Linked DNA regions of Schizosaccharomyces pombe. The gene in region 1 interacts genetically with each later gene. Each region holds a gene or a part of one and is shown on either strand. Other genes may lie near its edges. The genes, in order: cnp1, mis18 and nda3.

The links.
Region 2: of cnp1 (region 1) and mis18, extra expression of one rescues a mutant of the other (dosage rescue), as found in Schizosaccharomyces pombe (one study listed by BioGRID).
Region 3: mutations in cnp1 (region 1) and nda3 impair growth when combined (synthetic growth defect), as found in Schizosaccharomyces pombe (one study listed by BioGRID).

What each region holds. Positions count from the first base shown.
Region 1 is NC_003423.3:3,536,443-3,540,197, forward strand, and holds cnp1 (centromere-specific histone H3 CENP-A), read left to right. Parts: upstream 1-2,061; 5' UTR 2,062-2,158; coding exon 2,159-2,521; 3' UTR 2,522-2,761; coding exon of another isoform or gene 2,762-3,250; 3' UTR 3,251-3,721; downstream 3,722-3,755. Other genes in the region: signal peptidase complex subunit Spc1, read left to right, coding at 647-730, 776-862, 918-983; RNase P subunit Rpr2, read right to left, coding at 1,118-1,441; pth3 (peptide release factor), read right to left, coding at 2,762-3,250. UniProt on the Schizosaccharomyces pombe protein: Histone H3-like nucleosomal protein that is specifically found in centromeric nucleosomes. Replaces conventional H3 in the nucleosome core of centromeric chromatin that serves as an assembly site for the inner kinetochore.
Region 2 is NC_003421.2:513,276-516,807, reverse strand, and holds mis18 (kinetochore protein Mis18), read left to right. Parts: upstream 1-2,000; 5' UTR 2,001-2,037; coding exon 2,038-2,191; exon of another isoform or gene 2,192-2,236; coding exon 2,237-2,297; exon of another isoform or gene 2,298-2,344; coding exon 2,345-2,431; exon of another isoform or gene 2,432-2,479; coding exon 2,480-2,515; exon of another isoform or gene 2,516-2,556; coding exon 2,557-2,641; exon of another isoform or gene 2,642-2,697; intron 2,698-2,715; coding exon 2,716-2,877; downstream 2,878-3,532. Other genes in the region: rad16 (DNA repair endonuclease XPF), read left to right, coding at 1-206, 256-604, 644-971, 1,014-1,139, 1,185-1,445, 1,486-1,902; dcw1 (mannan endo-1,6-alpha-mannosidase), read left to right, coding at 3,268-3,480, 3,527-3,532. UniProt on the Schizosaccharomyces pombe protein: Component of the CENP-A recruiting complex that ensures the integrity of mitotic spindles through maintenance of kinetochore factors mis6/CENP-I and cnp1/CENP-A. Maintains the deacetylated state of histones specifically in the central core of the centromeres.
Region 3 is NC_003423.3:3,964,339-3,968,093, reverse strand, and holds the start of nda3 (tubulin beta Nda3), read left to right. Parts: upstream 1-2,120; 5' UTR 2,121-2,169; coding exon 2,170-2,181; intron 2,182-2,217; coding exon 2,218-2,267; intron 2,268-2,318; coding exon 2,319-2,360; intron 2,361-2,401; coding exon 2,402-2,456; intron 2,457-2,545; coding exon 2,546-3,431; intron 3,432-3,516; coding exon 3,517-3,755. Other genes in the region: GTPase Grn1, read left to right, coding at 1-1,394. UniProt on the Schizosaccharomyces pombe protein: Tubulin is the major constituent of microtubules, a cylinder consisting of laterally associated linear protofilaments composed of alpha- and beta-tubulin heterodimers.

The DNA.
Region 1 (3,755 bases):
GAAAGGACAAATCTTTGAAGCAATAAGCTCTTAATTTTATGGAACCTAATAACTTTAACAGCTACACATTACTAATTGCTTTTGGCACGACCCAAATTGCTTAAGGTATACGTGTAATGCTTGTTTTATACCGTTAGTGGAGACTTGACCTCTTTTAGCAATGAAGTACTAGCAAAATTTATGATAATCGCACATCTAATAAAAGATAATTTCACCAAATGAAAAAAAAAACCACCTAAGCAATTAATATACGATTTAAGTCACATACATTTAAATTAAGCCCTTGTTGGTGAATCTTTATTAATTATTAATCGTTTATGAACGCTGAAGTACCTTAACCTGTTAATTGTAAAGATCATTTCTATATAATGTTAATAGGTCATCAATGAGCCGCTTTTTCATTTTCAAATCGAATTTGACATTGAGGTGTTGATTTACATCTATTGAAAATGAAGGAGCAACCGATTTGCCTATATATTTTCATGCCTCTTTTTTTGCTTGTTTTTTGTTTCATATTCATCAATGTACAACGTGCTATTGGATTACAACACGTTATTATGGTAAACCGAACGATAACGAGATTCATTCGTTGTAACCACATAATACAAAAAGCAACTTTACTGTTTTGAGAAAGAGCAAGCATACCATGAACTATCTTGAAGGTACGATCGATTTTGCAGGACAATTAAGGTGTCAAAAGTATATGAACTATGGTCTATGTACAAGTGCTGTATGTCAGGGATAAAATCTCATTTATTTACTAATATATCTATAGGTTATTTCGTACATTTATGGGTATTTAGTTCAAGATTCTTATTGTGTGATTAAATTGTTTTTAATTTTAGCATCGTTGGTGGCTCTTGTAAGCTAGTTTTTTTGCTTCTAGTCATGTAATATTAACATTCATTTAAAAATAGGTGTGTCTTCCTGCTTGGTCTATGTACAACAAAAACCCTTTAAAATTTCAAAAGAAAAAGGAGTAAGCGGGAAATGGGGAATCTTTCTTTACTTGAATCGCAATCTCGCGAAATTAAAGAACCAAAATACCAAACAAAAGTTGCTCCGGCTTTATAGAATACAAATAATCTTTCATTCCAAAAGTAATGCTAAACATGTTTTAACAACTTTTGTCCGAAAACCTTTTTTTAAACGCACATTTTTTGCATATCCACAATACACGATCGATAGATGGATTTTTCCGTGATGGTTCCTCAAATCTTATTGAACATGACTTTCCTGGTACCAATAAAGAGTTACATCCTTTACATATGGTGCGCTTTATATCTGGGTGTATTCGCATTACTGATTTTTGTGAAACATCCTTGGCTGTAGAGATATAGTGTCTCGACAATGTAGGTTCTTGAACGTTTCTAAAAAGTAATTGCGAAGCCTGGTATAAATATGATACCCTTGCATGTTGGTCCTTTGACTTTGTACTCATCTCGACCGTTTATGTTTAAAACACTTGAGCTATTAAAGGAATTGCAAAACAGAGAACAAACAACTTTCCGTTTTTATAATGGAATGCAAAAGTCAAAAAAATTATTTTTAACTTAACAATTTAATTATGTTTCTTATAAAAATCCTTCATTAAATTAATTAATAAATAGTTAATGCTTGTTGCAGTCTGATTTTACCATAGGTCAAATTTTTAATTTGTTTTTCCACGGTAAACTGCGTTATGTAATTCTTTGTAAAAGAGTACGATAAATTTTTAAGGCTTTTGGATCAATTATAACCGAGATATAAAGAGAGCACATATGTTTATTCAATTAAAAAAAAATCGGTCTTGAGTTTCGCTTGGGTTTATATGATTAATTTCTCTTACCTATAAATAGTGAGAAATCATATATTCGTAAGCTATTATTAATACTTGTTCTTTTTAGCTGATGATGTGGAACGAACAAGAGCCTAATATTTTCATGTATTTTAATGATTTTCTTGTAAAACAGTAGCTTTAGTATTTTCTGACAAAGAACTTCTGTTTGATTGTTTACATTTTTAAATAGTGAGCTAAATAATTTAGAGTCTATGCTAGTCGCGACGCGTCAAACCCCTGTCAAAACCAAAACTCATTGTATCGAGCTCTTGCATTTGTTCCAACAATTACTGTTTAAAAACCTTTATTCCCAAAAGAAATTGATAGGAACAACTTAATATGGCAAAGAAATCTTTAATGGCTGAGCCTGGAGATCCTATTCCACGGCCACGTAAAAAGAGATATCGTCCAGGTACTACGGCGTTAAGAGAGATTCGAAAATATCAAAGGTCTACAGACTTATTAATACAAAGGCTCCCGTTTTCAAGAATTGTACGAGAGATATCTTCAGAATTTGTAGCCAATTTTTCAACGGATGTTGGTTTGCGCTGGCAATCTACGGCACTGCAATGTCTTCAGGAAGCGGCTGAAGCGTTCTTGGTTCATCTATTTGAAGATACGAATTTATGTGCTATTCATGCTAAACGAGTGACGATTATGCAACGAGACATGCAATTAGCCAGGAGGATTCGTGGTGCTTGACACTATATATTCAACAAAAAAAAATAGTTTTACGCTTAATCATATTGAAATTGGAATTGCTAAGGTATGATCAGTTTAATTGATATCAGGTGATTTTGAGACAGATCTTTAGCTACTCATTATAAGACTCTAAGCATGCTATCTACCAAAGAATTATTAAAAAAAATGTACGAATATGCTCATAATGAATGATAAATCTCACTCCTAGTTAATGCCATGTGAGTACCGAAGCAACGCAAATTAGATCACGTCTTGTTTCGCTTCATTATTATTCAGGCTGGAATCCTGGTCATCAATCTTATTTCCATACTTCCTTTTACTTTTTTTCTCTCGCTGTTTTTTCTTCTTGACAATACGTTGAACTTTTCTTGCTAAAAGACTATCGTTCCCGTGTTTGAATTCATCTACTTTCTCCGTTAACCGTTTCCTTGCAATACAACGATTTTGTTCACGTGAACGTGTGTCTTGAGATCGAACGATAATTCCCGTCGGAATATGTTTGACTTGGGCCACTATGCTAGTTTTATTTATTTTTTGTCCACCAGGGCCCTTTCCACATATAAATGTTTCCTCAATATCTTCTTCTTGGAGTCTTTCTAGTTGATAAGGTGTTTCTTTTTTAGAGCAATACCATGTATGCCGAAAATTTAGTTCTGCCAGACAAGAAAATGCATTTAGTCTTACTGAAATAAATGTTTTGTTCAAACACTTTCGTGCTGCGCACAGCATCTATGTTCACCTAAACGTGTTACTGCTAATAAATAGACAAACTTGACTAAAATAAACAACCTTGTCCTTTGGAATGATAATAGGCGGTCTGGTTGATTAGCGTGAAACTTGCTTAATACATTAAAAAGTTATAAGGGGATTTTGTATTATTGCTTTTCTCAAAGGTTACTGTTACAAAAAAGAAGAAAACAGAAACTTCTAAATTAGCAGAAAATTCACGATGTTGGAATATCGATGAACAAAATTGCGCACTTATTGCATAAGTTTAAAACTCTTTAATGTAATATTCTATTGTCACACTGCCCCAATAATATTTGTTTGGCATAATGCAATAGATACTGTATTACATTACATGCACAGAAGAATTTTTTTTTTTTTTTTTATTTTCACCTTTACTCTCACTCGAGTAGTGTTTTGCCTGCTTTCCAATTGACACCTCTTCTGTTTAGTCTAAAGTTTTTCGTTCAATAATTTAAAAAAGTCTTAATTTTCTTTAATTTGCTCG
Region 2 (3,532 bases), on another chromosome or scaffold:
CCCATCTAATGCACAACCTTCTCCTTGGCTTATGTTGGATGCCGCCAATAAAATGATCCGTGTCGCTAGAGACCGAGTATACAAAGAATCAGAAGGACCGAATATGGATGCGATTCCCATTTTGGAGGAACAGCCGAAATGGTCTGTCTTGCAAGACGTATTAAACGAAGTGTGTCATGAAACAATGTTAGCAGATACAGATGCAGGTATAAAAAAAACTCTCTTTAAAGGAAGAAATATTAACAAATCTTTCAGAAACATCCAATAATTCGATAATGATTATGTGCGCAGATGAGCGTACTTGTTTACAGTTACGTGATTATTTGAGTACGGTGACTTACGACAATAAAGACTCTTTGAAAAATATGAATAGCAAATTAGTGGACTATTTTCAATGGAGAGAACAATATAGAAAGATGAGTAAATCAATCAAGAAACCAGAGCCTTCCAAGGAGCGAGAGGCTTCTAATACAACGTCTAGAAAAGGTGTTCCACCTTCAAAGAGAAGAAGGGTAAGAGGTGGAAACAATGCCACTTCACGCACAACTTCTGATAATACAGATGCGAATGATTCTTTTAGTAGGGATTTACGCCTAGAGAAAATGTACGCTAATTATTAGGTTTTACACGCTAATAAGTCTAGTCTGCTCTCACACTTATCCAAACGTTATGAACCTGAAGTGGGCAATGATGCATTTGAAGTTATTGATGATTTCAATTCCATCTATATCTATTCCTACAATGGTGAAAGAGATGAGTTAGTATTAAATAATTTAAGACCTCGGTACGTTATTATGTTCGATTCTGATCCCAATTTTATTCGAAGAGTCGAGGTTTACAAAGCTACATATCCCAAAAGATCTCTAAGGGTTTATTTTATGTACTATGGAGGATCGATTGAGGAGCAAAAATATCTTTTTTCTGTAAGGAGAGAGAAAGATTCATTCTCTCGTCTTATTAAAGAACGATCTGTAAGTTATTCTAAACTTTTCAAAACTTGCTAATCTAAAAAGAATATGGCTATCGTACTGACGGCTGATTCCGAAAGGTTCGAAAGCCAAGAGTCAAAGTTTTTAAGAAATGTCAATACTCGTATAGCTGGAGGAGGACAGTTATCGATCACAAATGAGAAACCTAGGGTACGTTCATTATATCTTATGTTTATATGTATTAAAACGTTAAAGGTTATCGTTGACTTGAGGGAATTCCGTAGTTCGTTACCTTCCATATTACATGGAAATAATTTTTCTGTTATCCCTTGCCAACTCTTAGTGGGAGATTATATATTATCACCAAAGATCTGTGTTGAAAGGAAGTCAATTAGAGATTTGATCCAATCATTAAGCAATGGCCGTCTTTATTCCCAATGTGAAGCTATGACTGAATATTATGAAATTCCAGTTTTGTTAATTGAATTCGAACAACACCAATCTTTTACATCTCCAGTAAGTCTGACTAAAACAATCTATGTCTGACAGCTTTTAGCCTTTCTCCGACCTTTCAAGCGAAATTGGAAAAAATGATGTTCAATCTAAACTGGTACTGTTAACATTATCGTTTCCCAACTTAAGGATTGTTTGGTCTTCTAGTGCCTACGTTACATCAATTATTTTTCAAGATTTGAAAGCCATGGAACAAGAACCAGATCCTGCTTCAGCTGCCTCTATAGGTTTGGAAGCTGGGCAAGACTCAACGAATACTTATAATCAAGCTCCACTCGACCTGCTAATGGGACTCCCATACATAACTATGAAAAACTACAGAAATGTGTTTTATGGAGGCGTGAAAGATATTCAAGAAGCTTCCGAAACCTCAGAAAGAAAATGGTCAGAACTAATTGGCCCCGAAGCAGGAAGGCGTCTTTATTCCTTCTTCCGAAAACAGTTAAAGGACTATGAGTAATTTATTTTTTTATAATTTTGTAATATATTTAATTTTTGCTTCTACATCTGATATATATTGGTTCACCATATATAGAATGTTAAGCGCACCTAATTAATAACGACTACTACTAGATAAAATGAACTTTCCATAAGTATGTCCCAGACGGAAACTAGTCATTCGGGCTATATTGATTTTAAAAAAGAGTCACAACCTAGCGTCTTCCAATGTAAAAAATGTTTTCAAATAGTTGGTGATTCTAATGCTTGGGTTATTTCTCATCGAGAATATCTTAGTTTCACTTTGAGTGGTATGTGGTAAAAGAAATGTCCATGTAATTAATTATTTCATTTAGATGCAGTAGAAAATAGTGTACGCGTTGAGGATACGTTTAAAAGGAGTGATGATGGTCTTTGGTATGTTGCATGTGTTGCTCGCCAGTTTACTAATACAAAAATTATAGCGTCTATTCAGAGTTGAGTTGTACTAGATGCAATGAAGTGATTGGGAAGGTGTATAATTCTACACCTATATATCTTGATGATATTAGGTATGTCTAGTCGTACTTGGTTGACCAAATTTTAACAAAATCATGTAGAGATATGTATACTTTTTCAATGGACAAATTACAAGCGTAAGTTCATGATTTCATCTTAGTTACTAACCCCAGTGAAGCTACCAACTAGGTAATAAGACCGTAAATCCTGAAGGCCTTACACGGTATCAAGTTGATTTAGAAATGAGAGAGGACATTATAAAGGCATGTACAGTGATTCTTTATATAGTAGAGAAAAATAAACTTTAAGAAGAATAAATTACTAATTTTATTTGTAGTTGAAGTCCTTTTGTCTCTCTCTATATGAAAAGTTCGAACTTCACGATGAAACTTTACGCTCAGTTAAGGAGACAATATCCAGTTTAAAAAAACCGAAAATTGAGGGAAAGGAAGGTAAAAAAGAAAAGGCAAGAACATACTCTAAACGAACGAGGAAATAAGTCCACCGCTAGAAAGTACTGGGATACCATGTACAAACTGTTATATTCAAACAGTTAAAATTGCGGTTAAAACAAAAAGACACAATTTAAATAATACCTTTTTGATGTATTTTTTCTAAGGTTTTCCTTCTTGCTCATTGTGATATGCATGGGGCTGTCGGTCTCACGAATAAATGTGAGAGTATTTTCATTGAAAGGCTTAAGAATTTTATAGAAGATAGATTGCGTTAAGTTATATTTTTTCCCTACCTTTGGTCGTTCGTTGTTTACTGTTTAGATTATTTCTATCAGTCATTAATGAGTCATCATTGAATCATATGAAGGGCGACAGTCATCTGGATACATATGGGAATCTTCAAAGATACTACTCTATTTAATCCTTCTTTTTCAATGAGTCTTACAATCTTTATTTCACTTGCAACTATTTTGTTTTCCTTCGCTGAAGCCATTTCGGTGGATTTGAATGACACGTCCTCCGTTGACTTAGCCACTTCTTTAGTAGCTGATGGATTATTGAATTATTATGCTGGTCAGCACAAAGGAGGAACTATCGGGATGTTCCTTCCTCCAGCCTACTGGTGGGAAGCCGGGGCTGCTTGGAATGTACGTTGAGCTTAAAAGTATAATTTATTAACAACAATGGCTTTAGGGACTT
Region 3 (3,755 bases), 430 kb from region 1:
AGAGTAAAAGAAGAACTACTCGTCTTCGTAGCAGAATTGAAAAGAAAGCTGCAGAGAGCAAACGCAAGCAAAAAAGAGCTGATAAAAAAAATCCGCAATGGAAAAGCAGAATTCCTAAAGATCCAGGTATTCCTAACTCATTCCCCTACAAGGATAAAATTCTTGCTGAGATCGAAGAACAGAAGCGCATTAGAGAAGAAGAAAAATTGGCTCGTCGTGCTTCAGGACAAGTTGATGCTGCAATGGAAGAGGAAGACGCTGTTGATGAAAATGGATCCCTAATGATTTCAAAGATAGCTGAGGCTGCACAAGCGTCTAACCCAGATGATGAGGAAGAGTTTGTGATGGAAGAAGACAACCTTGGAGAGGCCCCTTTATTAGTTGACTCCGAGTCTTATGAGGCATCAGTGAAGGCAGATACCTCTAGAAAGGCATATGATAAGGAGTTCAAAAAAGTTGTTGAAGCGTCAGATGTGATTCTTTACGTTCTTGACGCTCGTGATCCTGAAGGGACTCGTTCAAAAGACGTTGAACGTCAAGTTTTAGCATCTTCTGCTGAAGAAAAGCGTCTTATTTTCGTTATCAACAAAATTGACTTAGTACCATCAGAAGTACTCAACAAGTGGGTTACCTATCTCCGCAATTTCTTTCCTACGATTCCTATGCGTTCCGCTTCAGGATCTGGAAACTCAAATTTAAAGCACCAGTCGGCTTCTGCTAGTTCCACTATCTCCAATCTTCTTAAATCACTCAAGTCTTACTCAGCCAAGAAGAAGCTTAAAAGCTCTCTTACAGTCGGTGTAATTGGATACCCCAACGTTGGTAAATCATCTGTTATTAACGCTCTTGTCAACCGTTCTGCGAATGGTCGTTCTGCACCTTGTCCTGCCGGAAACGTTGCCGGAATGACTACTTCTTTGCGAGAGGTGAAGCTAGATAACAAATTACGTTTGGTCGATAGTCCTGGTATTGTTTTTCCTTCTAGTGATTCTAAAGACGATTTGTATCGTCTTGTAATGCTTAATGCTGTTTCATCCACCAAAGTTGATGATCCCGTTGCCGTTGCTTCTTACATTTTGCAATTCCTTAGCAGAGTTCCAGGACAATTGGAAAGAATGTTTCAAAGATATGAGCTTCCTCCTCTATTGAATACATCCGATATAGACACTGCTACTGATTTTTTAGTCAATATTGCTCGTAAGCGTGGTCGTCTAGGTCGCGGTGGAATTCCAAATCTTAACGCTGCTGCCAATATTGTCATTAATGACTGGCATGCTGGTCGTATCGAATGGTGGGCCGAGCCTGAGGTTATAAACGAAAAGAACTCATCTGAAGTTCAGGATACTCAAATCGTTACTGAGTGGGCCAAAGAATTTGACCTTAATGATTTTTGAGAGTTTTCAACTTACGAAAAAAGCTATTGTTGCTTAGAGCTTATATTTTGGGATTTGGTTTTCGGTTGCGGTTTTTCTTCGGGTTTTAAAAATCTTTAGGTGTTGATGGTTACTAGCTATTACTTTTTGAATTAATATATAAATAATTTTTTTTGCATATATGCCGTATTCTTGAATGTGTTGTTTTACATTTACTTGTAAAAGTAATGTTTGATATGGGAGAAGTTTTAAGTAATAGGTTCGCTAATACGGGAAATTATTAAATCAATGCATGCTGGCTTAAATAAAGTCAATTGAATATGTACGGAAAATGACATTGATACTAACGTGCAGTTATAAGTTTCATTTCATTTTTATATCAATTGATAGGATAAACACAAACAATTCTAACCATACTATTTTGCGCTACTACTGAATATGGCATAATATCAAATTAATCTGTTTAGCAGTTAATAATTATGTATATAAACTAAAGAATAAATAAAGTTACATACATTACCAAAGAAAAGAAAAAAAGCTTGTATATAAAAGAAGTAAACTATTTAATAAGCAATGATTTAAGACTTGATTCTTTTCAATTAACAATCGGCTAATAAATACACAAAAATTTTTTTTAAAAGCCTACTAGTAAATAACTGCAATAAACTGTGTTTTTAGAATTTCTGAAACGTATAAAAACGATTTGGTACTTTTGGTATTCTCAATCCGTTCCTCCTAACGAAACTCACCTACCACCAAACTGATCATCAAAACAAACCACCATAAATTAGTCTAGATGCGTGAGATTGTACGAGCTATTTTAATATTCAAAGCTAATCAATAGGTTCATATTCAAGCTGGTCAATGCGGAAACCAAGTCGGTGCGGCCTTTTGGTAAGCAAAATCTACTTTGTTATAACGTTTCTCTCAACTAACGCTTGGAAGGTCTACCATTGCTGATGAGCATGGTTTGGATTCAGCTGGAATGTAGGTCTATTTTGCTTGTTTTTTTACTGACTTTTACGTAGATATCATGGAACTTCTGAGGCACAACACGAGCGATTGAACGTTTATTTTAACGAGGTAGGTTTTTTTGCTTTCTTACAAGTGTTCGGTTGCTTAAAACTTTTTGAAAAAATTTTTTTTTGTTTATTTAGTACTGACGACTGTAGGCCGCTGGTGGAAAGTATGTTCCCCGCGCAGTCCTTGTTGATTTAGAGCCCGGTACTATGGATGCCGTGAAGTCAGGAAAGTTTGGAAATCTTTTCCGCCCGGACAATATTATTTATGGACAATCTGGTGCCGGAAATATTTGGGCTAAAGGCCATTACACTGAAGGTGCTGAATTGGCCGATGCTGTTTTGGACGTTGTTCGCCGTGAAGCTGAAGCATGTGATGCTTTACAAGGTTTCCAATTAACTCACTCTTTGGGTGGTGGTACTGGATCTGGTATGGGTACTCTTTTACTTTCGAAGATTCGCGAGGAATATCCGGACCGTATGATGGCTACCTTCTCCGTTGCTCCTGCTCCTAAAAGCTCTGATACCGTTGTGGAACCTTACAATGCTACTCTTTCTATGCATCAATTGGTAGAGAACTCTGACGAAACATTTTGCATTGATAATGAGGCTCTTTCTTCAATTTTCGCTAACACGTTGAAAATCAAGAGTCCTTCATACGATGACTTGAACCATCTTGTCTCTGCTGTAATGGCTGGTGTAACCACATCTTTCCGATTCCCTGGTGAATTGAACTCTGACTTGCGTAAATTAGCTGTTAATATGGTTCCCTTCCCTCGTTTACACTTTTTCATGGTAGGATTTGCTCCTCTTGCCGCCATCGGTTCAAGCTCATTTCAAGCTGTTTCTGTGCCCGAGCTTACTCAACAAATGTTTGATGCTAATAATATGATGGTCGCCGCTGATCCTCGCCATGGCCGTTACTTAACAGTTGCCGCTCTTTTCCGTGGTAAAGTCTCAATGAAAGAAGTCGACGAGCAAATTCGCTCTGTTCAAACTAAGAATTCAGCATATTTCGTTGAGTGGATTCCCGATAATGGTATGTTTACTTGGTTTAAAACGTCGTTTGTATATTTAGTTTATTTTTTCTACTTGTTTATGCTCATCTGCTAACCTCGAAATAGTCCTCAAAGCTGTTTGTTCCGTTCCTCCTAAGGATCTCAAGATGTCTGCAACTTTTATTGGTAACAGTACTTCTATCCAAGAAATTTTCCGTCGTTTGGGTGATCAGTTTTCTGCAATGTTTAGAAGAAAAGCCTTTTTGCATTGGTATACTGGTGAAGGCATGGACGAAATGGAGTTTACTGAGGCTGAATCTAATATGAATGACTTGGTTAGCGAATATCAACAATACCAGGAGGCT